4 linked regions of the Astyanax mexicanus genome follow. The protein of the gene in region 1 interacts with the protein of each later gene in a pairwise test. Links are inferred from orthologs where the notes say so. Each region holds a gene or a part of one and is shown in the gene's direction. Other genes may lie near its edges.

What was found.
Region 2: the proteins of gopc (region 1) and rhoq interact in a two-hybrid assay, tested with the Homo sapiens proteins (2 studies listed by BioGRID). The link is inferred for Astyanax mexicanus from reciprocal best matches to the Homo sapiens genes GOPC and RHOQ.
Region 3: the proteins of gopc (region 1) and hck interact in binary tests that used the Homo sapiens proteins (3 or more experiments, as listed by UniProt). The two-hybrid records come from large-scale screens. The link is inferred for Astyanax mexicanus from reciprocal best matches to the Homo sapiens genes GOPC and HCK.
Region 4: the proteins of gopc (region 1) and fosl2 interact in a two-hybrid assay, tested with the Homo sapiens proteins (2 studies listed by BioGRID and IntAct). The two-hybrid records come from large-scale screens. The link is inferred for Astyanax mexicanus from reciprocal best matches to the Homo sapiens genes GOPC and FOSL2.

Annotation. Positions count from the first base shown.
Region 1 is NC_064408.1:80,413,196-80,420,480, reverse strand, and holds the start of gopc (Golgi-associated PDZ and coiled-coil motif-containing protein), read left to right. Parts: upstream 1-4,280; 5' UTR 4,281-4,525; coding exon 4,526-4,780; intron 4,781-7,285.
Region 2 is NC_064422.1:39,689,213-39,696,818, reverse strand, and holds the start of rhoq (rho-related GTP-binding protein RhoQ), read left to right. Parts: upstream 1-4,596; 5' UTR 4,597-4,900; coding exon 4,901-5,042; intron 5,043-7,606. UniProt on the Homo sapiens protein: Plasma membrane-associated small GTPase which cycles between an active GTP-bound and an inactive GDP-bound state. In active state binds to a variety of effector proteins to regulate cellular responses. Involved in epithelial cell polarization processes.
Region 3 is NC_064420.1:31,466,397-31,473,657, reverse strand, and holds the start of hck (tyrosine-protein kinase HCK), read left to right. Parts: upstream 1-4,252; 5' UTR 4,253-4,476; intron 4,477-7,261. UniProt on the Homo sapiens protein: Non-receptor tyrosine-protein kinase found in hematopoietic cells that transmits signals from cell surface receptors and plays an important role in the regulation of innate immune responses, including neutrophil, monocyte, macrophage and mast cell functions, phagocytosis, cell survival and proliferation, cell adhesion and migration.
Region 4 is NC_064421.1:9,779,670-9,787,341, reverse strand, and holds the start of fosl2 (fos-related antigen 2), read left to right. Parts: upstream 1-4,668; 5' UTR 4,669-5,402; coding exon 5,403-5,498; intron 5,499-7,672.

The DNA of each region.
Region 1 (7,285 bases):
CTAATTCAATAATAAATAATGAGAGATATAGGGGCCATTTCACAGACATGCATTAAGTCTAGTCATAGACTACAGTATATTTATCTTTTAATTCCTGTTTTGCCAGGAGGTAATAAAGTTAATAAAGTAATAAAGTTAATAAAGTGATCGGTATGTGCAGATGGTGAGTACAGTTATTAAAAAGATAGAAATGATAGGGTTAGATAAATGCACAGAAGAGCACAGGCTCATTTGATGATTCTCTGTTTATCTGTTAGTTGAGATCCAAAACAGCTCACATAACTATTTTAATAAATTGAATTTGTAAATACTGTCAAACGTTCCAACATCCAGTGCAAAGCCTTCACAGAAATGTAATGGTTGTTTCTGCAAAATTGGGGTCTGGGAACTCTCCTTATCAACACTGTTTATTACAAACATTTAAACATTAAGTGCACACCATTTATATGGGTGAGCAGATCTGACACCTCCCACCAAAAAAAAAAACTCATTTACTCTTATCAGACCACAAGGACAGAACAGTATAAACATCAGGTCAAGGTGAAATGCCCCTTTATTGCCACCAAGGACATGGGGGGTGTGGGGTACTCCTAAAATGTGTTTCTCTGGAATTGGTTTCACTCACCAAATGGGTATTGCTTCACTATACACATATATTTTTGTTTGTATGTTTGTCTGTTTTGTGTTGTAATGCAGTATGCCCTCAATCCAAGCAAAATTTCTCCTTGGGAGATAAATAAAGAAACTATGACTATGACTATTTGTGGCCACAATTTAAAGTATGTTTAAGTTAAGTAAGCTAAAGTAAAAACTAAATGATGCAGTGGTATAAAGCCATTTTTATCTGTTAACCATGGGGTGGATCAATCAAGTTTTGGGCTTGTGATGCAGCCAGTGTAACAGGGAGCATTTGACTGGTAATATAATTTGACTGGGAAAATGGATATAATTAACAATTGAAATTAAAATCTGGAATTAATCACACCTTCTGTAAAAACAAAAGCTGTTGAGAAAAAGAGAATTACTTTTACAACATGATTCTAAACACATCTCAAAATCCACAAAGGCTCTCACAGCACTTAAAATTCAACAAACATCTGTAAACAGGTGTCAGAAAAGCAGTTCATGTAAGACAGCCCCTGAATCTCCCAAAACTAGAAGCTTTTAACAACAAGGAAGAATGAGCAAACACCCATCAATGAAGAACTGAAAATCTCTTACCTGCTACAAATATTGTTTACTGTGATGACTTCTTATATCTGCTATAAGAAGGATACTGTCTGCACAGAAAAATCTTAAAATCATGAAAATCTTTGCAGTACAAAACTGTATTTTGTTTTTTATTATTAATTTTGGTTAACTTTTCAAAGGAAGTCTCATTGTTTGTTATAAATGTATTTGTTTAGTCTTTTTTTGGAATATTCTGTGTATCTTACAAAAATAACATAGGTAAAATATTTTAATAAATGTGCAATTTTTCACTTCACAGCTTTTGTAAAGCAATTAATCGTTCACGTACTGTTCACCTATGAGAAGATCAAAAATCTGCGGTGGATAAACCTACATATAATTGTATATGTACACAAATATTAAATATTAATACTTTTTTGCTTAAATGCTTTAAAGCCTAAGATGATGGTTCTGGTTTTAAGTACATATCTAAAACTAGTCTTTACTTATTATTTAATAAATGCAGTGCCATAATTAAGAATCCTTCAGTAGGTAAATCTAAAGTATTACTAAGGAATACAATCTTCAGGGTCTTCAGAATTGTCCTACTATCTGCTCTTTGAATCCATGTTTTTTGTATTGTGTTTTTTTTTTTGGAATGATCTTCTTTTAGATTTGAAGAGAAGGTTAGATAGTAAAGCTATATACAATTTAATGTAATACAATAAAGCTGTATTGTATGTTTTTAATGACCCTTTATTTTACTTTAAAACCCAACTCATTACCTAAATGGGCTGCTGCATAAGGGGCCCTCATGGAGACCGAGTACAATAAAAAGAGTGCTTTATAATGGGTTACCCTGATGGGGCCCATTATACAGTGCACATAATGGCCCCAGGTGTCCTCAGCTCTATTTGCCCATTAATGGCCCAACCTGTGCCCATATTTTACCCATGTAAAACCCACTTTGGTTCTAAATTAAAGGCCCATAAAAACCCCACATATGCTACCCATTAGGGTTCCACACTGTACCCATCTTAAACCCGTCATTAACCCATATGCTGCTCAAGGGGCCCGCATAGAGACTAAGGACAAAATGTGTTGGGTCCTAAATGGTTAAACTTGTTGGGGCCCATCATTTAGCCCATCATAAACCCACATGGGGCCCATAAAATTAAACATTTTCGAAAAATAAGAAATTTCAAAAATCTATTCATACTTTGAAGCTTTTCAGTTTTAGCTTTTTTTTGTTGGTTTTGTTGTTTGTTTGCTTTTTTATTTTATTATATTTTTATTTTTTATGTTGTTGGCATACCTGTCAAGTCTCCCGTTTTGGCCGGGAAACTACCGTATTTTACTCCTCTTTCCCGCCGTCCTCCCGTATTAGTATTTTTCCGTAAATTTCCCGTATTATATTAAAATTAAAAAATATATATTATTGAGGAGACAGGGCACTGACCGCTCTTTGTCTCTTAACCAATCGTGGAGCCGGTTCAAGGAGAAAGTCCCGCCTTTCAGGAGAAACAGCCAATCAGCTTGCAAAGGAGGGTCAGTGTGGGGAAGCCCCCCGTCGCTGTGAGTTCAGGCAGCTAGTCGGAGCTGCTGATGTTAAAACAGATCTGGATATACAGCGATTTTTCTTAAAAAAATGTAACGGTAGGCTAATCATGTAAACTGTGATGAGATTTTTCTGATAGCTGCTTAAAAAGACTCGTCTCCGAAATAAAACACACAGATTAAACATTTTAAAATTAAAAAAAAAATTACAGCTTGTGACCGAAATGAACTGAACTGATCAGGGGTGGAGTGATCAAAAGGAAGAAGTATTAATTAAAAATGATTAATTGTGTAGGCCACTTAGGACTAATTTTTACTGATGGAATATATCTGGTCCATGTCCTTTTAGTAAAAGCTCATAATACTATTTTTAGGTCACCTACAGTCATTTTGCAGAATTTGTGCCCCCTTTGTTAAATTTTAAATCTATTAAATAAATAAAAAAAATATAATATAAAAGAGTGCATGTATGGCAAAAAGACATGAAATCTTAATCTTAATCTTAATATCTTGAAAATGATTTTTAATTTGGCTGTATTAAAAGAATGATATATGTAGGAATGTCCACAACATTTCAGATTCTGATAATCTAATTGTAGTGTGTAAGTGGTTCACTTGTGGTTATTTTAGATTTTTTGTAAACCTGTCTTTAAAATGTAAGAGATACTGAACCTTCGTTGGGCTGGTGGGACGACTTTAAGCGGACAGAGGAAAATATCCCTTATTTTTCTAAAACTTGACAGGTATGGTTGTTGGATATATGAATCTTGAAATTAGCCTATTGCTGTTTCTGTTTAACTTTGTTGTATTGTATTATGCCGACCTTAGACATAACGATTTTCAAGCAATTTCACTGTTGCAGAAAAATTTCCAGAGTCAGGATTGTGTCTTATTGTGCAGTGTTATTTTTGATACAAACAAGTTTAATAAATACACATTTTGCAAGAATGATGTTGTTTATTGCATTAATCTAAAACAAAGGCAAATGTATATCAGTGAAACTGTGATTGATTGCTTTACAAGGTTGTATGCTTATAAGAAGAGTTGAACACAAAATGTATTCTATTAAAAATATCAAGAAATAAGTGTGGCCGAAAAATAAACTGTTGATGTGAGTCTCTGATAAATCACAGTATTGATTTACACATTATTTTTAACTTAATATGTAACATGTCTTGTATGTAACCTCCACCAGAAGCTTGATGGGAAATATTCTCAGAAAGAATCTAGCTGCAGTCTTACAGTTAGTGATCCTCAGTCTTAGCAAAATATGTTAGTAAAAAGTCTGTGACTTGTCTTTAGACGTGAGGGAGTGTCAGACCTTAGTATAAGAAAAGTATTTTTAGAGTCTTTTTTTAAGTCGTGTAGTGTATGAGCAGCATTTAAAGTACAAAAGCTCAATATTAATAATAAAAAAGCTGGTAAAAATATTGTGTGAGATCAGCGGACTGAGTGAAGTGTTCCTGAAACAGATCGATCGATCATATCGGTGATCTGTTGCTCTCGCTCTCTCTCTCTGGAGGCCTAATCGTGTGGCAGACCAGTGTAATCGATCCCTGCTGAAAACGGACATCCTGCTGTGTTTAGAGGAGGAGGATCAGCGGTATTTACTCCTCCGCTGAAGTTCTTCCTCCTTCTCCTCTGACTGTGATAGACTGAGCTTAAGGGACTCAGAGAGCCGGGCTGTACAGACTGAGGGCTGCGGGGTCGCTGAACCGAGGCTCTGCAGTGCTGCTGGTGGTGTTGTTGTGGGGGTGCTCGGGTATCCGCTCGGTGTTAGACGGTCTACAGGGCGGGGATGTCGGCGGGCGCCGCGCAGGGAGCCGCGCTCGGAGCTCCGGCCTCGGGCATGTCGATGTTCCGCTGGCTGGAGGTTCTGGAGAAGGAGTTCGACAAGGCGTTCGTGGACGTGGATCTGCTGCTGGGCGAGATCGACCCGGACCAGGCCGACATCACCTATGAAGGCCGCCAGAAGATGACCAGCCTCAGCTCCTGCTTCGCGCAGCTCTGCCACAAAGCGCAGACCGTCTTCCAGCTCAACCACAAACTGGAGGTAGCTAGCGTTATTATTAAAACACAACACACCACCGGGCCTACACCACCACTCCACTGTAGCTTTAACACTCACACAGACTGTGAAATATTCATTAAACTGTTCAGAGTCACAGGAAGCTAGCTAGCTATCCTAGCTAACCCACCACACAGCAGCAGTGTGTGAGGAAACTACTGTTCTGTGGAACAGTAGTGGAAGTTTGGGAACTCTCGCCAAATTACTTTACAAATTACACACTTTATTCATTTCTTATTGGGAATTAATAAGCACAGAGTATGTAGGTTATACTGTATTGTCACCAAATTCTAATGTACATCTGTTTCCAGAATTCATCTTGACCTTAGCAGTTCTCCAAAATTTTTCAATGTCATAAAAATGCTGTAAATTATTTCTTCCAATTAAGAATTCTTGTGTATATAAAAATTCCTAACTATTAAAATAGCAACTAATAATGAGTGAATATATTCGTATAAATACTGGATTAAGCTTCTTATTTCTGTCTACAAAACATTTGGTCATCTCTAAACAAATGACACTTTATATATATATATATATCAATGTATTTTATTTTAATAAATAGAAAGCACAGAATGTGTGGCTAATACTGCCAATATTTTCTACAAATGTACAACTGCTTTTTTATGCCGAAATATATTATATGCAAATCAGAATAACCATTTTGGCCTGGGCAAAGGTTTATGCACTTTACCCGGTAAAAGCTTTGTTACAACCCCTTTGACAGAAAATACAGTTCACAAGCTCTGTTTGTTGCAGATAAGTGTTTTTATATCTAATATCAGTTTTGTCTTTATACTGAGGGTGTTTTAACTGTAGCAATTCAGTGTTTTGTTTTTTCCAGATCACATTTTGACTACCACAGTTCACCTGAACTGCCATTTCTTACCATTCCTTACTGTAGGATGCTTGGAAGTCTTCTTGTAGATACTGGGTGGTGCTTTTCTATTTCATGGACCCAATCAATACTGCTCCAAGTTTAGCACTGAGATTGTTTCTTGATCTTCATGCAGGCATTTATAATTCAGCAGCCAATGCCCTGTAGTTCAGTTCACGTTAGGCTTTAGTTACATTTTGTTGTGTGCCAATATATTTTCTTGTTCTTTTTTATAAATAATTATAAAAAGAGTCTAACCTTAATCCTAGTCCTCTAGCAGCTGACAAAAATCAAATGCTGCAGTTCAATTAGAATCTCATCCTAGCCATGTTGGCAATTAACATGGTTTTGTGCTGATTTTGCTGCCTATGATTAATTGATCTGTGAATTATACAATAAATAGTACCATCAGATTCTACACAATGTCAGTTTTATTACCGCTCATTAAAATAGTTTGCTGAAAGTTATTTCTGATATTTAACGTTCTGCAATTGCCCTTTTACATTTTTTAAGTGACATTCAGTGCAGTTCATCATAGGTGTGAAAAGATATCATAATCTTGTATTGAAATAGGTACTGCTATTATCAGTCTAATATATCTCTAAAAATGGCATTTAAAAGGAAAGGTATTACAGTTTAACAATAAACGTGATGCACCTGCCCTTCCTGCTGAGCTGAGCCTGTTTTGCGTAAGGGGGTTTGCATTCCTGACATTTGAAATCCTGATCCATTGTAAAAGAGAGATGCTTACTCATCTTAAATGTGAGTAAAGCTCAGACAGAGCTGGAGAACATCAGAACTCAATAGTGTTGGAGTGTACCAGCCAATGCTCTCTTTAGGTTTATTATTTTAGTACAAAAGAGATACATGTTTAGAGAAATAGACCTGCAGAACCTGCTCAGCCAGGTCTGATCAGTTTATTGTGTCCTCTGTCTATAGTGTGTGTGTGTGTTTGTAAATGATAAGAAGACAAAACTATGCAAAGCACCTTTTGGAGTCAACACTACTATTTTCCTCTTGAGGCTTTTCCATTGGATTGTCATTAGCTGGTAATTACTGTCTTTAGGTTGATTAAAAAAAAAAATGTGTATATTTTGCAATTTATATGAAAAAGTGCAGTCCTGTATTTCTAACATGATATCACCAGATATCCTTTAGCTTTCCTCCATGAAGTTGGTTGGAAATAAATATTTTTGGTAATTTTTGAAATATTGGCCATTGTTAGTAGGGCTTTTATTGTGTACATCTACTCTCAAACAAATTAAGTTTTATTGCATGTTGTGATCATACCAAATGATGTGAATTAAAGAATTCATAAAAAGTCAGCTTATACTTGTCATGCAAAAATACATTAAAACATAAAATAAAATAATTTTAAAAACGATTAATTAAAATAATTAAATGAAAACCAATGTAAAAATTAAATAAAATGGAAATTAATTTAGATTTATTGTGATTTATAAAGGCCAGTCTTTAATCAGGTGACACTATTGGTTCACTGGTATGGTTTTGGTGTCACATAAATTGTTATTGTGGACACATTGAAGTTCTGGATTTATAAGATCTATTTAAGTTGCTACACTGTGAACTCATGCTTTATTTAATGGTTTTAG
Region 2 (7,606 bases), on another chromosome or scaffold:
ACTTTTCTGCTTTCTAAATCTTGAATGACACAGATACTGGAGCTACTGCCATAACATTTATATAGAAGATGAGTTTTACATTTTCTACTGATTAACTAAAAATAAAGCATTTTTTATGATATTCTTTTATTTTATTTTTTTGAGATGCTGTTATTATGAATTACTTCAGACTGCCACAAGAGGGAGACATAATATCATCTAAGAGACTTGTTTTATTCTTAACCCTTTAGGTATTAAATAAATTAGGTATTAAGAAAAGCCTTGGCTTTTATTTTGAATTAAATACAATTAAGCTAAATTCATTCATAAGAGGGTCATCCTTCTGATCTATTGCAAGTCATCAGAAATGCATTTGTTACATAACAATGCCCCTTTAGGTTTTAGGCAACCTAATAAAATTTACACCGGAGTCACACTGGCTTCTTACTGTATTTTAGGCCTAATCTGTGCCTAAAGCAGATTAATAAATAAATATGTACAGATCCACAAATATACAATACCAGTCAGCTGATTCTGCCTCCCTCCACAGCTCCAAAGCCTCTTTTTAATCCCCAAACAGCTGCTTATTGAAATCAGATAAGCCTAACACTACCAAGACTTCTGCCAATATCTTAATCTGGACACAGTCATCATTTAAATTCTCATAAAATCCAGCAGAGAGGGCACAACCCCGGCGTAATGCTGCTGCAGCACGCCGAGCACTGCCAGCTCAGCCCAGCTGGAACCAAATCCCTGCACTGCTGAGCATCTTCATCTGAGGAACAGCTTTATCTCCAGCTGAGCTTAAAGAAATGTGTAAAAAGTATAAGTTTACTTACATGCTTTCTTATTTGCCGTTTAATTAATCACAAATGTATACAACATGTTTACAACATATTAATAAGGGTTGCAGTGGCTGCAGCAGGAAGGGATGCATGGAGTGGACGCAATTACACATAAATAATCATTATATAACAGTATATAATATCAAATATTATAAATCAAAATCAAATAAACAAAGAAATGAACAAAAAACAAACAGAACTAACCAACAAAAACAAGCAATAACCTGAGACAAGGAACATCAACCTAACCGACAAGAAAACAAAAACGTACAAGAACCAACAAACTAACAATAAAAACACAGGGGCTTAACTACACATGGAGGGAACAGAAAACGGGAAACACCCAGGGACAGGTAATGAGTGGGCGGAGCTACAAATGAACACAGGCGGGAGCACTGAAGGCATGGGTGGAGACAACGAGAACACAGAGAGAGCCATGTACTTTGAAAGGTAAATCAACAAACAGGAGGGCAAAAAAAAAAAAGCACAGAGACAAGAATGTGACAAAATGTTTAAACTAGAATGATTTTTAAATAAATATTTAGAAATTTATATAGACCATATTTTATTTAGCTATTTTTTCTATTAATAGCACAACACTATTCAAAAATATGTCAGAGAATTCCTTTTCCTCCCTCTCATCATAAAGGAAATAGCCCCGCCTCTTTATTTATGGATTTCTTTTATTACATTTGGTCAAATATTTACATTGGTGAATTTAGTCCCGCCTCTTTAAGAAAGCAACCAGTGACGTTTGATACCAGTGACATCACAACTTTAATACTGATTTACTTTAAGAAACTAATGAAACAAGTACTGCTGCATGTTCAGCCATTACTACTATTATTTCATTTAATATTTCTTATATTATCCTTTGTATACCTTGTATACCTTAAAGAGTTAAAGCTAAAACTATCCACCCTGTCTTGGCAAAATACCACATACATTAAAATAATAGGAGATTATCTAAATATATCTTTGAAACAGAACATGTTTGCTCACCATGAACAATAACAAAAACTAAAAATATGATTTTTGTGTTTTATGAGTTTTATAAATATGATTATAATCATTCATTATCACTGTTTTTCTTTGCATTTGTAATTCTCATTCAGCTCCATTTTTAACCAGTTAAAGAGGAGGAATGTTTTTTCATTGTTTTAACATTTTCTGCATTGTAGATTAACACTAAAGTATTCTTAACTATGAAGAAAAACATATGGATTTATTTAGTAAAAAAAAAAATGATTAGAAAGCGTTAAACAAACCAAAAAGTCTGTTATATTTTAGATTCTTTAAAGTAGCACCTCTTGCTTAGACGACAGCTTTGCACATCTTGGCTGGATTTTCTCAGTCAGTTTTATACACAACAGTCACCTGGAATTCAGGCTTTCAGGTCTCTTAATGTGTTTGAGAGCATCAGTTGTTGTAAAGTAGTGAAGAGGTAGAGTTACAGGTATACAGTGAATAGTGAATATTTGAGTAATGTTCTAATCCAGATTATGACAAGAGCTACTCAACTACTCAAGTAAATGAAGGTCAGTCAAATACGAAATATTTCAAGAACTTAAAAAAGTATCCTCAAGTGAAGTGGTAAAAAAAAAAAACATCAAAAACATTATGATGAAACCGGCTCTCATCAGGAGCGCCCCAGAAAAGGAATAGCAAGAGTTCCCTCTCTTGCACAGGATAAGTTCATGAGATCTAGAGCCACCTAAATGCTTCACAGAGTGTTTTTAAGTTACTACATGATTTCTTATGTGTTCCTTCATAGTCTGGACTACTTCACTATTCATTTACTAAAGGAAAAATATAAAATATATATAATAACATTAAACGAGAAGGTCTATACACACTACTGTGTGATGAATGAAAAAAATCATCCATAAAGAAACCCAGTGCGGTGTATAACTGTGCGTGTGAGTGAACAGTGTGCAACACGTAGCTTTAGCAAGCCTCTCTAAATGCAGCTTCCTGCACTGTAATAAAGATCTCTGCAGGAGGATAAAGGTAGTGTTTTGCCTGATTGAGGAGCTTCAGTCTCCTCGACGTTCATCTCTAAACCCACCTTATGGGCGCGTCTGCAGCAGAGTCTTGTACGCCTGCGCGCGCGCGCTCACGCTCCCTCTCTTTCTCACACACACACACACACACACACACACATACACTCGCGTACGCACACACGCGCACACGCAGAAGGTATGAGGTAATTGTTTGGTCACGTGACTCCTGCAGTAGCTGTCAAAAGTGATACAGCAGCGCATCCCTGACCAGCCCACCCGCTTCCAGCTGATTGGACTGCCGTCAAGGTGTTAGGGATCATCTGCAAATTCCACAAAACGTGAAATGCAGGTATATCCCCTCTGTCATCTAAGCAAGAGGTACTTCAAATCTAAATTCCATATTTTATTCTTCATGTTTTAATGACTTTAGTGTGAATATATTTTTTCAGTTTTTTTAAATAAATAATTGGCAGTTCCTGTATACATTTTTAATGTAAGTGTAGTTGAATACATACAATACATATATATACACATACCATATTGTTGAATCAGTTTTGAATCAGTGTAAAATCAATGTGCATTAGAGATGGAAAAACGATGTTGAGTCAATGTTCTTTTGCTATCTGGGGAGCATATAAACCATCAAACTTATATGAAAACATACCCTGCCATGCTGGTCATAACCTAAGCTTAGTAGGATAGTAGTAATACTACTACTAATAAGAATTATACTAACATTATGTCTAATATATCTATATCTACATCTATTCTTTGACATATACCATCATAACATCATCAGGCAATCAATTATTATTTGATTTATGTTTTCACATTACCAGTTACTTACTTACTTTGTTTTTAATGTTATGGCTGTGATCAGTGTCCACACATACTAGTGCATCTCAAACAAATAGAGAAACATTGAAAAGTTACTTTTCAATTGAAAATGTTCCGTTGAAAATGTGAAACTCATATATTAAATAGATGTATTACACACAGAGTGATCTATTTTAATCGTTTATTTCTTTTATTGTTCATGATTATGGTTTTCAGCCAATGAAAACCCAAAAATAAGTGTCTCCGAAAAAATGAATATTACATAAGGCCAATTGGTACTTTTGGCAGCGTGGGCAGTGTGCCAAATCCTGCTGGAAAATGAAATTCACACCTCCATAAAAGTTGTCAGTAGCAGAGGGAAGCATGAAGTGCTGTAAGATTTTGTAGGAAAACACCAACACTGCACTGACTTTGGACTTGATAATAAAACACAGTGGATCAACACCAGCAGATGACATGACTCTCCATTAAACCATCACTGATCATCAGTAAATTTTACATTTTATTTGTAAATCAAGGGATCAGAGTCTGGGGGAAGAGTGGAGAGACACACAGTCCAAACTGCTTGAGGTCTAGTGTGAAGTTTCTACAATCAGTGATGGTTTGACTGTTATGGAGATGCTGATTTCATTGTCCAGCAGGAATTGGCACACAGCCCACAGACCAATTGGTCTTTATGTAATATTCTAATTTTGTGAGACACTGATTTTTGGGTTTTCATTAGATGTAAGCTATAACCATCAACAATAAAATAAATAAACGCATCTATATAATATATAAGTTTCGCATTTTGAACTCAATTACTGAAATAAAGTAATTTTCCAATGATATTCTAATTTTTTGAGATGCACTATTAGCTATGTTCTCACACTTTATCCTCGGTCCCTTGCTCCGGAGCTGTGACCCCGCCCCTGTCGGGAGTCCTGAGCTCGTGCAGGCTAGAGAGAGTCAAAGGAGGTGAGGCGCGCGGAGAAAGTAGGGGAAAGTGGGGCAGTGGAGAGGGGGGCTTCAGGGACCCCCGCGCGGCAGATTTGGGGAGCTGGGAGGAGAGATGGTGGTCCAGCCTTCACTTTTCTCTCTCTGCCAGTAGCAGCAGACGGAGCGGGGCGCTGGTGACGCCTGGAGAAAGAAGCTGAGGCAGTGGAGGAGGAGGATGAAGAGGAGGATGATGATGATGATGATGCTGATGGTGAGGATGAAGATGATGATGAAGATGATGATGATTTCTCGTGTGTCATGGCAAACGGGACCGGCACGATCATGTTGAAGTGCGTGGTGGTCGGCGACGGCGCCGTGGGGAAAACTTGCCTGTTGATGAGCTATGCCAACGACGCCTTCCCTGAGGAGTACGTGCCCACGGTCTTCGACCATTACGCAGGTAAATAAACACACTTATACACCGGCTCTGGTGGGTCAGGGGTTGAGGACCCTGCTGAGACAATGGGCATGGCTTGGTCAAGGTGGCTGGTTTACAAGCTTAGATTTGGATCAGCATTGGGTGTGTTTAGGTCTTCAAGCCAGTATGACCAATCTTGACCATGCTGGTTGAGACAACATGACCAATAGGACCAAACAGGTTCAGCCAACATGTTGAGCCAGCTAGTTTATCAGTGTAAAGTATGTTTTTGCCTGGATGACCAGCTCTTAAGTAGCCAAGACTAAGATCAGAGATTGGGTTTGTTTTTTTGTTTGGGTTTTGATGGTTTAGCTAGTCTTCAAGCCAGTATGACCAAGGTGATCAATACGACCAAGTTGGTTTATTCAAGCAGCATTACCAAAACCAAATTAAATATATACTATACTGGTCAAGAGCTGATTAACCAGCTACTTTAGGGTGTTTTTGTTTGAGTTTGATTGGTTACCTGGTCTTTAAGCCAGTATGACCAATCTTCACCATGCCGGTTGACCCAACATGAACAAGACCAAGCTATTCAACCAGCCATACCAAAACCAAATGAAACATAAAATATGCTGGCCAAGAGCTGATTAACCAGCTACTTTAGAGTGTTTTTGTTTGAGTTTTATGGGTTAACTGGTCTTCAAGCCAAGCTGGTTGAACAGCTAGTTATAAAGTATAAATTTTTTGCCTGGATGTCCAGCTTTTCAGTAACCTAGACCGAGATCAAAGATTGGGTCTGTTTTTGTTTGAGTTTGATGGTTAAGCTGGTCTTCCACCCAGTATGGCCAAGTCTTACCAAGCCTCACCAAGCTGGTTGACCCAATATGAACAAGACCAAGCTATTCAACAAGTATTAGCAAAACCAAATAAAATATATACTATGCTTGCCAGTAACTTAGTTTGATGGGTTAACTGGTCTTCAAACCAGAATGACCAAGTATGACCAAGCTGGTTAAACAGCTAGTTATAAAGTATGTTTTTGCCTGGATGACCAGCTCTTCAGTAGCCTAGACCAGGATTCGAAATTGGGTCGGTTTTTGTTTGAGTTTGATTGTTTAGCTGGTCTTCAAGACAGTATGACCAAGCCAAGTCTTACCAAGCCTCACCAGACTGGGTGACCCAACTTTAACAAGACCAAGCTATTCAAGCAGCATTACCAAAACCAAATGAAACATAAGATATGTTGGTCAAGAGCTGATTAACCAGCTAATTTAGCATGTTTTTGGTTTGTGTTTCATGGGTTAACTGGTCATCAAGCCAGTATGTCCAAGTATGACCAAGCTGGTTGAACAGCTAGTTATAAAGTATGTTTTTTGCCTGGATGAACAGCTTTTCAGTAACCTAGACCAAGCATGACCAATAAGACCAAACTAGTTGACCCAACATGAACAAGCTGGTCATAAGTTGTTTGAACAGCTAGTTTATCAGTATAAAGTATGTTTTTGTTCACGTTTCGTAGTTTAACTGGTCTTCAAGTCAGTATGGCCAACTGTGTACCATGCTGGTTGACCAACAATACATGAAACAGTGTTTTAATCTCCTTTTTCTGTTGGTATTTAAGCCACTATGACCAAGGTTGACCATGCTAGTTGACCCATCATCAACAATATGACCAAGCTGGCTGAGTAGCAAGACCAAGCTGGTTAACCAGCATGACCGAAACCCCCACATTAAACAAACCATATGCTTGTGAACTGGTTAACCAGCTAGCTTTACAATATAAAATATGTTTTTTTTCCTGGGTGACCACCTAGACAAAGATCAAGGACTATTTTGAGGTGTTTTTGTTTGAGTTGATGGTTTAGCTGGTCCTCAATCAAGTATGACCAAGAATGACCAAGTATGACCAAGCTTGACATTGTCTTATCAGTATAAAGTATGGTTTTGCCTGGATTACCAGCTTCTTAACCACCTAGACCTCCAGAACCATCTACCAGCAAAAGTAGGTCTTCAGTTGGGTTTGTAAAGCAGAGAACTGATCTTTTGTCATGTATATGGTTAAAAATGCTTAAGAAACTGGTCTGAAGTGGCACTCAGGCTTTGTCTGCTGTTGCCCCTGTGATCAAAACCACCTGTTGGCTTCATGGAAGGAAGGAAGGAAGGAAGGCAGTTGGTGTGTGTTACCATCTTCCACCACCAACACCCCTCCCCCCACACACTTTTTTAGTGCAGAAACCACACACACAACAGTGCCAGCTTGCCGTTATTTCGTCTTCCCTGATAGCAACATTAATGTGGCTTGTTATTGGGTCACATCTGGAAATTTAACATTGGCTCACACACTGCTTGTAATAATGGCCAGAGGTGGCCAGATGTGGTTGCTGTAAAGGTTACTGTGGTAGTAGTTGAGTTGTAGTTGTTGAAGTGGTTGAATTTTGGGACAGATTTGAGTTTTTTTAAGGTGTGTGCAATGCTGCCGTTTTAGATCTGTAACAGACAGCTACAGCATTAAATACTGCTGTAAATACTTACCATATATAATGTAATATATTATAATAAAATTCTACCTCAGAACAAAAAAGTATATAATATTTAGTGCATGA
Region 3 (7,261 bases), on another chromosome or scaffold:
ATAACTCTTTTTTTCCAAGTTTACAAAACATGTTCATGAGGTACTTTGCACAAAATCAATCTCACAAATAGATCTCACCAGCTATTTTCTTACCAGTTTCAGTCCCTTTCAGAATGAGCCGTTTAAGGGCTCTGTCACTTTTATGTAAATAAGCTGTTGCTGGCCAAACCGTGTTTACGCTAAAAATTTACTACACCTTAGTGTTAGCTTGAGCTAAATGAAAAAACAGTGTACTAAGGTGACTTCACGTAAAAAATAGCCTAGCCATCACTTATTAATGCATGGGAAATTAGATAAATAAGTCATGTGGATGACTTAATAAGCTATGGGAATGAGATAATATGGTCATTGCAACAATTTATTAAAGTTTGAGAACAAATAATTAAATTGTGCAGACGACTTAATAAGGCATGGGAACGAGACAGTAAAGTTTGAGACAACGTATTAAAGTGAAGGAGCAAGATGCTGAAGTGGTGGGGACAATTTATATGGCCAGGTCTTAATTTTCGTGTTCCCACACTTTAATAAGTTGTGGCCACACAGTGGGATCTCATTACCATTCCAAAATAAGTTATCAATTAAGTTACAACTTAATTGTCTCATTCCCATGTCTTAATAAGTCGTGACCGCACATTAGGATCTCGTCCCCACACCTAAATTGGCTCTTTCCCAAGCCTTACCAAGTCTTGGTCATGCATTAGAATCTCATACCCACGCCTTAATAAGTCATCCCCACAGCTTAATTATTTCATTTCAATGCCTTAATAAGTCATGACCGCACATTAGGATCACGTCCCCACACCTTAATTGTCTCCTTCCCAAGACTTACTAGGTCTTGGCCATGCATTAAAGTCTCATACCCACGGCTTAATAAGTGTTCCCCACAGCTTAATTATTTAGTTCCCACACCTTAATAAGTCGTGGCCACACATTAGGATCTCGTCCTCACACCCTAATAAGTTGTGGCAACACGTTTCTTTTTTTTTTTTTACATGACGTCACTGTAGTGGCTACGAAGTAAGAAGAGTAAGTGCTCCTGAAGAACTCAGTGTTTAGGTTCTTGAAGGGCTTACTGGACAAGGGAAAGATTGTCCAAAATGTAAATCCTAATTGTAGATGTGTCCTGTCCCCTGCAAATTGTCTACATGTTTTGGAAATTGCCCAAACCTTACAGATTTCTGGAATTGTATTTTTAGTACACTCTACATTTTAAGGAACTCCTTGATTAAACCAGACCCTTTTTTGCAATATTTGGGGTTTCCTCATACACTTTGACTCAGTATACTAAAATAAATGATGATTGCCTTCACTACTAATTTTGCGTATATAGAAATCCCCTGAAACCCTGAAGCTCTCATCTTTTTGGACTGAAAGTTTCCTAAACTGTTTAAGATTAGAAAAAATATCAATTACACTTTTTTTATGTTTTAACTTCTTATCCTATGCAAACTACAAGTGCAATTATATTCTAAATGTCTAGTATGTTAAAAAGTAAAGAAAAACAAGAACAAAAATATTTTTGCATTGACTTTCACTGAATGGTTTTCCATCTTCTGTAAATTTGTATTTTTATTTAAATGAAGAGACCACTTCAGTTTCTGAATCAGTTTCTTTGATTTTGCTATTTATAGGTTTATGTTTGAGTAAAATGAACATTGTTGTTTCATTGTATAAACTATGGACAACATTTCTCCCAAATTCCAAATAAAAATATTGTCATTGTCATATTCATAGTTTTGTAGAATTTATAAATCAATATTTGGTGGAATAACCCTGTTTTTTAATCACAGTTTTCATGCATCTTGGCATGTTCTCCTCCATCAGTCTTACACACTGCTTTTGGAGAACTTTACGCGACTCCTGGTGCAAAAATTCAAGCAGTTCAGCTTGGTTTGATGTCTTGTGATCATCCATCTTTCTCTTGAGTATATTACAGATGTTTTTAATTTGTTAAAATTAATTAATTTTTAATTTTTAAGGAGTCTCTTATTTTTCCAGAGCTGTATTTACAGTGTTAGTGTGCGATTGCAAGAAAATCCCTTCTGGTTCAGTGCTGATACGTAGCACTTTTACGATACGTCTGTTTCAAACCATGAGTGTAAATACAACTTGCACAAGCTAAACCAATGGCCTAAATCTTGACCCAGTTTTTCTCAACGCGTATGAAGACAGCGCTGTTATGAGAAGTTATGTAGTTTTAAGGCCTGTGGAAGCCAGTTTCTGCACATTAATTGCTTGGCTAACTATTTATCGACACTCTGGTGTCCAACTTCCTCTTTATCTGTCAGTAATATTTGCATAGAGGTGCTTTTGTGAGTGTGGAGAGATCAAATACTACCTAACTAGTGTGTAAACGTGTAGAAGCTTACAACTGGAGAGACCTCTCCGGCTGCTGTGACCTCTCGGTGTGTGTCAGTGCGTGGGTGTGTATGAGCATAACCGTGAAAGAGAGAGAGAGAGAGAGAGAGAGAGAGAGAGAGAGCATGATTCCAATTCTCCCTAATCATTTTTTCACTCTATCTCTTCATTTAGCAGTGGACAGATGGGGGATTTAATCACAGAGAAGTCTTATAACCAGCCCCTATTATTCTTTCTCTACTATGATTCTCTCTCTCTCTCTTTCTCTCTCTCTCTCTTTCTGTGAAGGAAGTTGGTGTTTAATCCTGGCTTTTGATAAGGGATTAGAGGATCACTGCCTATGTGTCCCCATGTGACTGAAATACTCACTACAACTGTGTGTGTCAGTGTGTGTGTATGTCCATTAGCTGTTGATAAAATTGTATTGTTGCAGAAGCTAAACAAATTTGTACAAATATATATATTAATATAACTTTGTCACTACTTCTACTACCACTACTATTGCTACTACCAGTACTGCCACCATTATTACTACTACTACTTCTACTACTACTACTACTACTATTATCAGTACTACCACTGCTACTACTACTTTTACTACCACTAGTACTACTACAACCAGTACTACCACTACTACTACTATACTCCTGTTACTATTACCACTGCTTCTACTATTATTATTTAAAGTAAGTAGATTATTAAAACCGATGATGATTATTTAATCAGAATTATGTTAATGAACAGAGTTATATAGGCCTATTATTTGAGAAAACTCTTTATTAAGAATGGAACTCTAAAGTGTAATGCAAACAAGTGGAGCAGCTGGTCAGTGCTACATGATTATAACAAATACAGTGTGATCTGTTACTTTGCTATATTGTGGTTATCAAACCATAGCTTTATATAAAACAAAAACTGGCATAACAAATGTAGACCTAAATCACAGACCATTTTCTTGAGCCTGTTTCAACAGGACAAAAGAAACGTGATGGGAAATCTTGGGCCCCAGTTTGGGTCGGGGAAAAGAGGCTCGTGTTTGGATATATGTACAGGGGTTGGACAATGAAACTGAAACACCAGGTTTTAGACCAAAATAATGTATTGTCCCAACGGACAGTTCTGGTGGAAACAGGAGAGTTGAGGTGCACATTGAATTCTGCCGTGATTTGATCAGCTGTGGTTTTATGTTTTTTGGATACAATCCGGGTTAGCACCCGAACATCCCTTTCAGACAGCTTTCTCTTACAGCGTCCACAGTTAATCCTGTTGGATGTGGTTAGTCCTTCTTGGTGGTATGCTGACATTACCCTGGATACCGTGGATCTTGATACATCACAAAGACTTGCTGTCTTGTTCACCGATGCGCCAGCAAAACGTGCACCAACAAATTGTCCTCTTTTGAACTCTGGTATGTCACCCATAATGTTGTGTGCATTGCAATATTTTGAGCAAAACTGTGCTCTTACCCTGCTAATTGAACCTTCACACTCTGTGCAATTAATGAAGATTGGCCACCAGGCTGGTCCAATTTAGCCATGAAACCTCCCACACTAAAATGACAGGTGTTTCAGTTTCATTGTCCAACCCCTGTATGTATAAATATATATAAATTAGTACTAGTAGTAGTACTAGTAGTAGTAGAGCTAAAAATAATGTATCTATTCAATAACTATTTAACAATAAAAACAATAATAATAATACTATTTATTATTATTATTATTATTATTATTATTATTATTATATATATATATTTTTTTATCTATACCATATAACTTACCTATAATATATCACACACTAAAGACTGCTGTGCTCAGCAATGTGTGTGTGTGTGTGTGTGTGTGTGTGTGTAGAGGGGGGGGAAACAGGCGGATGTTCGTGACTCGGCGCAGATGATTGCCCTCGGCCTCAGTAGCCGCTTAACTTCCTCTTCAGCAGCTCGCTCTCACTGTACATCTTCTCACTTCCACTGCCCGGCTCAGCCCCACACACACAGAGCGATGGAGGAACCGGCTTAAACAGCAGCTTCTACACCTTTAAACCTCCAGAAAAGCCGCTTTACCACCACTGGAATTAAATTATATTACTACACTGCTGGAGCTCCACCTCACAACTCAACAGGTAACAACACGACATTCCTAAATTCTCCTGTTTCTGAGATTAAAAACAAACCGGCATATTTCACACAGTGAACCGCTTCCAGTTTAAACGGGCTTAATGTCACAGAAAGTGAATACCTTTATATAATATTACTTTAGGGTTTAAAACTAAAGGGTTTTATCATTTTAATTCAGTATTTTATTTGTAATTTAAATATATTTTGAGTTAATAACGTTTAAGTGGACGAAAAAATGTTTGGTAGCTAAGTTAACTAAGATATTTGACGCAGCAAAAGCGTTTAGTAATGAGTTTCCTCACTTTTTTGCGTAGGATTTTACGTAGGCTAATTGGGAAACACTTTAAACATAGTGTATTATTAGCGTGTAGTGAATATCCTCTGGTTTGTCCAACTAAAAACGAGTATCTCCATTTTTTTATTCTGTGTCAAAAAATCTTGATGAATGGACCAATATTTTTTTCTTCAAAATTATCTAAAATAAAGTATTTTTACATTGACTTCCACTGAAAGTTAAGAAGGTTTTATCTCTCTCCTGTAAAGTTCCTGTTTTGGAGATACATCTTTTTCAATAGACAGCTATGAAATGCACTAATATTTCTATTAGTGCTATTTCTATTTAATGGAACGTGAAAGACAAATTAAAATGAGAAAAGTCATAAAATAATCTTAAAATGATGTTTAAAAAATGTTCTACAGAATCCAAAAGGGTACACCACAATTTTCCCAGTGTTAAATAAACACTTATGTTATGTAAAATTTACAGTGTTTTACAAGTTACTGTCAAATTTGCTGTGTATAAAACCAAGCCTCAAATGTGTTCTCTTATATAGTGTTTCAAAGTCCCATAAACATCATCCTAAAGCTCTTTCCAGAAGTCGTCAGCTCTGTGTTCAGCCTAATCTTCCTGAAATGATGAGCGACTTTTGATAAGGACAGTCTGACTAAGGTGTTTTACATGTATAATGTGTTATTTGCACACTCCAGAGTGGCACTGGAGAACCCATCAGTAGGCAGAACATTTTCTATCCTTGGTTTAGAGAGTTTTAATGTTTTTAAAGGGTTTTGAGATGGTCATTGCTAGTCGTTTTTGGTTTAGATAATTAAAAAAAAAATACAATGCCCAAGTTGAGCGCCTGCTGGGATTTCAAGCGGAGACCTCGGAATCTGAATATACAGTACAGCATAACACATTCTATACTGTATCTATAACTATTCAATCTAGTCTAGGAAACACTGTGCTATACGGCTGTGGCACTCCCTAATCGGGGCACCAAACCACCTCATTTGGGCATAATTGCAGAGATGTCGCAAAAAAACGTTGGCATGCAAATTCCTCAATAAGGTCACGTATGGTGCCGCAGGCCTTGGATGCTACTGTCTACATGCTACATGTTTTCAACAGCTTCTGTATGAGGTTTTGAAACTAAATGATGAGAAATCTCTAAAGTTTGATGTCCAGATGGAATGGGATGAAAAAGTTTACATTTAGGCCAGTCACAACAGCCGTTTTTGTTTGGACGATAATATTGTTTGAAACATTACTGCAACAAATTATTATTGTCATCATTAGACATTAATTAAACTTTTACGCTAATAATATGATGAAAATGGGACACCAATATAATGCAATTACACCTTTTCAAAGAGCAACGCACTTAATTATTAAGATAGCATTGATCTTGCAAAACATTATGACCACTTCCTTGTTTCTACACCCATTACCAGTTTGTTCAGCTCTGCTGATCATATAGGAGCACTTTGTAGTTCTAGAACTACAAACTGTAGTAATTCTATTTCTCTGCATACCCTCTTCTTCTATGGTCAGGAAATCAGAGTACTTCCCCAGAACATGTGTTATTTGGGTAGGGGGTCATTCTCAGCACTGCTCTGACACTGGCAGGGTGGTGGTGTGTTAGTGTGTGTTGTGTTGGCATGAGCGGATCAAACGTGGCAGTGCTGCTGGAGTTTTTAAACTTCTCAATCTTACTGCTGGAATCAGAATAGTGCAACATTGTCATATGGACAGCATCATGTGACCCCCATCAACAGTCTATTTGCATGCCTCTGCATCATTAAATAAGCGTCTGAGTTTAGGAATATATCTGCATTGGTGGGCACCAAGGTCTGAAAATGAGGTGTGTTCAGGTAAATATCTGGCATGTTTCTGAAATACAGGTGCGCCATGACTGATTAAACCCTGACAACAGTCAACAGTCAGCCGTCCAATACTATTTTAGCCATGCAGAAGTGCTGTGCATGCCATGAAAGTTGTTAGCGTACACCACCACTCGTTACACACACACACAGACGTTCTGATTTTTTTTAATTTCATGTTATGCCCAAAGCAAGAATTCCAAAGACACACTGACACTGACTTCTTCCTTTGATTTTACATTTAAAAGGTGAGCAGCTACATTAGGTATGAGTGAGTAGTGAGTAGTTTAAAAACTCAAGCAGCAATGCTGTGTCTGATCCAGTTGTACCAGCACAACACACACACAAACACACCACCATCTTGCCAGTGTCACTGCAGTGCTGAGAAGGACCCACTACCCAAAATAAAACATGCTCTGTGAAAAACATAATGAACAATATCAAGGTCAAAAATGTGTATGCCCATGCCCATATATTTTTTTACCATAAGTTGAAAATGAAATGTAAAATTGTCATCCTGTGCTGTGAAAACACCACCTTTTAGGTGTAAAGGAAGATACTGATATGATAACAAGTCTGATTTTATTGGTTATTTTCTGACTGACCTCAAGATAAAAAGCAGATAAAAACAGC
Region 4 (7,672 bases), on another chromosome or scaffold:
ATGAGGAGTGCAATGACATGCCAAATGTCACGGGACATAAAACTGTTATCTTGTCCTATAGAACCTAAGAACACTGCACTGACCTGTGGGGTATGAGATATATGTGTTGGGTCTCCTGCATTGAATGTGGATCTGATTTTGGCTTGGATTTTGATAATAATTACAGCTTGTTAAAGCTTTTTGACCCCTTTTATACCTGCTCAATTCATGGAGCTAATATCTAATAATCACATGCATCTCCACTTAAAACTATGTGGGGTGCAGTAAATGTCCTGGTGCTTTAGTTGTAGTGGGGTTTTTAAATTGTTAAATTCATCTTGTAATGACGGAAGTGTTTACACTGCTGTAATGTGTCTCAACTACATCTCAAATCACCCATAAAGTGGATTTGAATGTGTTTAAATGCATTTTGGGTGTGTTTACACTTGTGACTTGCTCTTATCCAGATATAATCCAGATTCTCAGGTTGCATGAAGTGAGCAGGTTGCACTGAAGTGAGAGTGCTGAGCTGAATGAAGTGTGCTAGTGGGTGAGCGCTGTGGATTGCAGGCTGATCCAGCTGACCCTGATGCACCAGCACGCTCTGAGATTTAGAAGGGTTACGGTCAGCGTGACGACGGTGCAGTGGCTGATGACCGATGTTCGGGAGGGTGTGACGCCACCTGCAAGCTCATGCTTTTGTAATCGAAGGCACTAATGACAGAGGAATTAATGGATTATTAATTTGAGAGCTCTGTCAGGCTCAGTCTGTCTGACAGCTTTTCACTGTCATGTATTGTTTACTATGAGTTTCTATATACTAAATAATAGCTGTCAGAATTTAACTTTGGGAGGAAAAATGGTATTTTTACAGTCCTAAAAAATAATGTATTACAGAGGGTTCCATAGAAAAGATAATAGCTGGTTTCTGGTATTATAAACTGGTGGAAATGTAGATCATCCAGCTAAAAACATGCCTTATGTTGGTAAACTAGCTGCTTAACCAGCTCTTTTCCAGTGTAAAGTTTTTTGCGCTTGATTTTGATCATGCTTGGTCTTGCTGGCCATGTTGATAAACCAGTTTGGAACACATCACAGAAGCCATTACCATCCACAGTGGACAGCACAGTGTGTGGTAATGATCGTGACCGGTGTAATCTCGCTAGAATTGTCTGTGCAAGCAGAAATTCCATCCAGATTCAATGTAGTAGACCCCATACATATACCCCTCAGGTCAGTGCGAGCTCTTTAGCTTTAATGGGGCATGGCAAAAGTGATGGAACATAACACTAGCTCTGTCCCACGACATTTGGCATGTCAATATACAGGGGTTGGACAATGAAACTGAAACACCTGGTTTTAGACCACAATCATTTATTATCCTGACGAACAGTTCTGGTGGAAACAGGAGAGTTGAGGTGCACATTAAATTCTGCTGTGTTTTGTTCAGCCGTGGTTTTATGCTTTTTGGATACAATCCAGGTTAGCACCCCTTTCAGACAGCTTCCTCTTACAGGGTCCACAGTTAATCCTGTTGGATGTGGTTCATCCTTCTTGGTGGTGTGCTGACATTACCCTGGATACCGTGGCTCTTGAAACATCACAAAGACTTGCTGTCTTGGTCACAGATGCCTCAGCAAGACGTGCACCAACAATTTGTCCTCTTTTGAACTCTGGTATGTCACCCATAATGTTGTGTGCATTACAATATTTAGAGCAGAACTGTGCTCTTACTCTGCTAATTGACCCTTTACACTCTGCTCTTACTGGTGCAATGTGCAATTAATGAAGATTTTCCACCAGGCTGCTTCAATTTAGCCATGAACACTCCTACACTAAAATGACAGGTGTTTCAGTTTCATTGTCCTACCCCTGTATGTCATAAATGGTGAAATTTACTGAAATTAGAAAAATGCTGTTTTTTAATATGTACTTTTTGTTTTATTACAACATGGTGCAGCCCTAATAATGTACAGTTTTACTATATATTGCCATCACAATCATTATAAGCATCATAATTTCCCTCTTATCTCACGTGCATATATACTATTTATATAGCTTAAACAGGATTAAGCGACTGTTTTGGCCAACCTGACTGTTTTGGCCAATCTGGGCTCTCCATGCCAAACACCACAGACCCTCCTCCCTCTAATACAATTTGCTTGTTCCACCGGCGACATCTATCTGCCGAGTGAGCGGTCCTGTGGTGAGTGTGTTTCTGCTTCCCACTGTCCAGAGCCTCCTGTTTCCAATCTCACTGCACTGAGAAGCTGAAGTGTGATTACAGCACATTACATCCAGCCGAAGAACGGCTTGCAAAAAAATAAACTTCTGAATGTCATACATTTTCTCTCACATAACCACACACATACATGCCAGTAAACTCATGCATGAGTGAGAGATAGTGAGATAGAAAGAGAGAGTGAGATCGTGAATGATTCTGAGATCATAAATGTGTGACAAAGAGGAACAGAGCAAAACACTGAATTCAAGTGAAATGTGAGAGAAAGATAGTGAATGCATGGGAAATAGAGAAGCACAGCAAGACAGTAAATGCATGTGAGGTTGAGTGTGTTTTTGAGAAGGTGATATTGCTAGAGAGAGGAGGCAGATTGAGATAGTGAATGCATGTTTAAGAGAGAGGAAGAGGCAGAGCAACTAACCGTGAGAGTGAAAGTTAATGCATGAGACAGAGAGAGAAAGTGAGAGGGAGAGAGACAAGATAGTGCATGATAGTGAATTTGTGTGTGTATAAGAGGCTGAGAGAGAGGTAGATTGAGATAGTGAATGTATATGAGAGTGTGTGTGTTTGATAGATAGAAGAGGCAGAGTGAGAGTGGATGCATGAGAGAGAGAAAGACAGGAAGAGCAACAGCAATACTGTAAATGCGTGCAAGAGAGAGAAAGAGAGAGTGAGTAAGTAAAAAATAGCCGCGAAAGACATCGAATGCAGGTGAGGGGACTAAGAAAGAGGTAGAGAAAGGGGGGTAGAGCGAGATAGTAAATGCATGTTTACGTGACAAAGAGTGAGATAAAGATAATGAATACATGACAATATAGTGCAAGATAGTGAATTTGTGTGCATAAGTGTGTATGAGACTGAAGGAAAGGTAAATCGAGATAGCAAATGTATGTGAGAGTGTGTGTGTGTGTGTGTTTGATAGAGATATAAATAGGGATAGAAGAGGCAGAGTGAGAGAGTGAATGCATGAGAGAGAAAGAAAGGAAGAGCAACAGCAATACAGTGAATGTGTGTGTGAGAGAGAGAGAGAAAGAGGAAGAAGCAGAGAAAAATAGTGAATTCAGGTGAAAGGGTGAGAGAGAAATAGAGAAAGAGGGGCAGAGCGAGATAGTGAATGCACGTGTATATGTGTAAGAGAGAGAGAGAGATGCAGAGCAAGATAGTGAATACTAAAAAGCGATAGGGGAAAGACAAGATAGTGAATGTGTGTATGAGAGACAGAGAGAGGGTTAGATCGATAGAGTGAATGCATGTGAGAGTGTGTGGGTGTGATAAAGATATAAAGATTGAGAGAAGAGGCAGAATGAGATAGATCTATCTATCTAGCGAATGCATGTGCAAGAGACGGAGCAATATAGTGAATGCACGTGAGAATGAGTGTGTTTGATAGAGATGTAAAGAGAGAAGAGTCCGAGTAAAAGTGTATGCATGTGAGAGAGAGAGAGAGAGAGAGAGAGAGAGAGAGAGAGAGAGAGAGAGAAGCAGAAAAATACCGCATGTGAGAAGGGGGATTCGGTGAGGGGAAAGAGTGAGATAGTGAGTGTGTGAATGCATGTAGTAAAGAAATAGGTGTAGTGAATGTGTGTGTGTGTATGAGAGATAGGGGAAGAGCGATAGAGAGATAGTGCGTGAATGCATGAACGAGAGAAATAGCAATATAGTGAATGCATGTGAGAGTGAGAGATATGGAGGTGTATTCAATGAGTGTGTGATTGAGAGAGGAAGAGCGATAGAGAGATAGTGAGTGAATGCATGAGCGAGAGACGGAGCATAATAGTGAATGCATGTGAGAGTGAGAGATATATTAAAGACAGAAAGGTGTAATGAATGTATCTGTGTGTATGAGAGAGAAAGAGATAGAGAGAGAGAGAGAGAGAGAGAGAGAGAGAGATACGGAGTGGATGCATGAGCGAGAGACGGAGCATAATAGTGAATGCGTGTGAGTTTGTGAGAGAAAGAGAGGGCGCGCGCGGAAAAAGATAGAGCTAATGAATGAGAGATAGGAGGATAGTGAGAGAAAGTGTCTGAGAGTGTGTGTTCCGTGTGTTCTTGCTCTCGGTCTGTGTGTGTGCGTGCTTGTGAGTGTGTGTGTGTGTGTGTGTGTGTGTATGTGTGAGGGATTCCCTCCACCGGGACCTGTAGGAAACCCACGCGCGTGCGCGCGCTGACGCAACTGCCCATTTTAGGAAACGAACGTCAGTGGCGGGCGATACCAACTGAGGCTTAGGGCTGGGGGGGAGCGGGGTCAGCTAAACTAGCCTAAAACTCACCGGGACCACCCGCATCTCACTTTAGGACCGCCCAGAGGCTTGAATTACACCTTCTACCGCATTGTTTTACACAGAAAACTTCCCACAGACTAACCCTGAGTTGTTCCTCTGTGGCTCCTCCCCCTGCGCTCTGTGGTGCGGCCGGTGTGCGCAGGTTGGCGTTGATAAGCAGATGCGAGCGCGCGGTAGTGCCATTGGAGTGAGTCATCGCGCGGAAAGGGTGGTCGCGGGAGCGAGCAGGAGGACCGGAGCGAGGGAGCGCGCATCTACTGAGTGGAAGGAGGCAGCACTGCCGCTCCTGTGAGTCACATCTACAAAAAAAACTGGAGAAAAACAGGAGGAGAACTGCGCTGAGTTTCATTTACTGAAAGTAGGTGAAATAAGAGACTTCTTACAACTTGTGTTAGTCACTCTAGCTTGGCTTACAGCGCTGGAAACATCTTTACTTTTTTTTTATTTCATTTTTATTTTTTCTACAAAAACCTGTTTACTGGACTATATGAACTCTTTCTTGCACGCCTGCTGCTCTCTTTTATTTTTATTTTATTTTTCTCTCTATTATAACAGTATAACAAAAAATAATAATAATACAGAAAGAAAACTGTACATCCGGACATTTAACCCTCTCTAAGCCTGATTTTTCTTCTGATTTTGTTCATATTAGGCTATTATTTCTCACAACACACACATATATATATATAGAGAGAGAAATATATAATTATATAGTATATTAGCTCACTCCAAGGAAACCCCAGCTGTGGGTTGTCTTTAAGAACCAAAAAAAACAACATTTTTTTTCTCCTTTTCGGCTTTGGAAGTGCAAAGAAGACACTCTTCTGACTGAAAACGTGTGGGAGAACTCTACAAACCTGTGAATTTTTTTCTTTCTGTATTTTTTCTTTTGCTGGATCATGTACCAGGAGTACTCCGGGAGCAGCAGCAGCGCCTCCCCGGGCCAGCAGGACTCCTACCCCAACGGGAGCCCCCTCTCAGCCTCCAGCTACCAGGTACGGTCCCCCACCTTCAGCTCCTTCACCACCATATTCACCGGTATAATCACCGGGCCTCAGCACACCTGTAGACACCGGGCTGCTGCTATATAGTCCTATAGCCCATTGGGCTGCTTCTCGCAGTCACTTTAAAGATATACAGTATATAGATATACCATTATACACAAGATACCAATATACACAATAAATCATTATTATCATCACATTTTTGGCTAGTTTAGTTTTCTGTGCATTTTAAATCAAATTATATTGTATAAACCAAAATAATAAAAAAACATATTGTAAGATCTAGCACATATTAATTTATATCCACTAATATTCACTAATTATGGTGAAAAGTGACTCTATAAAAATAGTAACTGTACTGTAGAACCTCGAAAAACACACATTTCCAGTCAATTTCCAGTAAGCTGGCTTTGCAAAAAAAAGTTATAAGTAAAAGTTTTGATTCAATAAAAGTAATAAAATCTCTTATCTTATTATTTTGCAATTTTATAAGACTTTATAAGCCATATAGATATGGATGCTCACAGTCTCTTTAATAGTCTACGAGTGTGCTGAACATAGATTATAATGTGTATTATTTATTGACTTATGATTGACTCAGCTGACTCATTTATATATATATATATATATATATATATATATATATATATATATATATATATATATATATATATTTATAGATGGATATGAAGAAATATTATACATAATATATATATAACATGTATAATCAACAGGGATCAGCTCTGCAAATAAAAGTGAAATCCCAATGATAATAAATAAATCTCAACACCAAAGTTTCAGATGACGTTATAATGACTTTTGTTCATTATGATTTTTCATTTTATTCATTAATAAACAATCCCCCGTGTTTATCTCATTATTACAGTGTTTATTGGTCTCCATATGGACTCAGATTAACACTGTTGGGTGTTAATTCGCCACTGTAGGTGTTAACAGTGGGGGCTCTGCTGTGTACAACATAGTGGTCTTTTAATAGATATAATAAGCCTACATATGTAATATATATATATATATATATATATATATATATATATATATATATATATATATATATATGCACACAGACAGGAATTGAGCAATTGAGCATGGTGTTAAATGAATTTGCGAGCTGATAATTCTGTGTGTGTGTGTGTGTGGGTGGTGGGCGTAAATGTGCGAGCAGCCCACCGAGACTGCGCACACACTGACCGCAGGATGCTCTCCACTTCCACTGACACAATACACTCAATTCTGCTTTCAGCTCATACCAGATGATTTGCAGCACTGAGGTGACATCTGCTGAATGATGAACCAGAGTTTAGCGTTAAAATTTAAGTGTTAAAGTGATTTAGAATAGTGTAATAGTGTAAAATAGAAGATTCTTAGGTTTGTGAGTTTGTGTATTTAAATGTATAGCTGGAATAGTGTATACTTACATTAATTACCCATGTAAAAAGTCAGAATTAGTTTTTTTATTTGTGCGGTATGAGTATTATGAAGATTACAACACCACAGGCTTGGTTGTATTGCGTCATTATTTCTGGGAAGATGTTACACTTGTTTTCCAGTGTAAAATAAAAACAGTTGTGTGGGAATATGTTGAGAAATTAACTCACAAGAATGTCCTTATTGTATAAATAAGGGTATACATGTCGATATATAGATATTTATAGATATATAAAGTGCTACACACTTTATTGCTTCAGTATCACACTCAAACACCTTTGTTTTGGTGCTTACATACAAAAGATACTCCAGTCCTAGAGATTATAAGGTATATTTACTGTCCTAATAGATATTTACTCCAATCTTCCATACATAAACTGCATTTTTAATAAATTAAACATTTGTATATCACAGTCCAACAAAATATTGCAATATCAATCTGTTTTCCAATACCATTAATTCAAAAGCTTCCACTGACACTCTTGATTTGGCCATATAGGCAACCCAAAAACCTGCTAAAACTGTGTTCATATATTAACGTCACAACAAAAGACTAATTATAAAATTACATTAAATAAATATTAATATTTCATATTAAAAGGCTGTGCAGCGATAGAAAAAAAGGCTCATTAAAAATGTCCTAAAACAAATGCTCCAAGTCAAAACTACTGAAAATCTATTAAAAAGTTTAGAAACGCTCCAAACACGAGAGTTAAAAA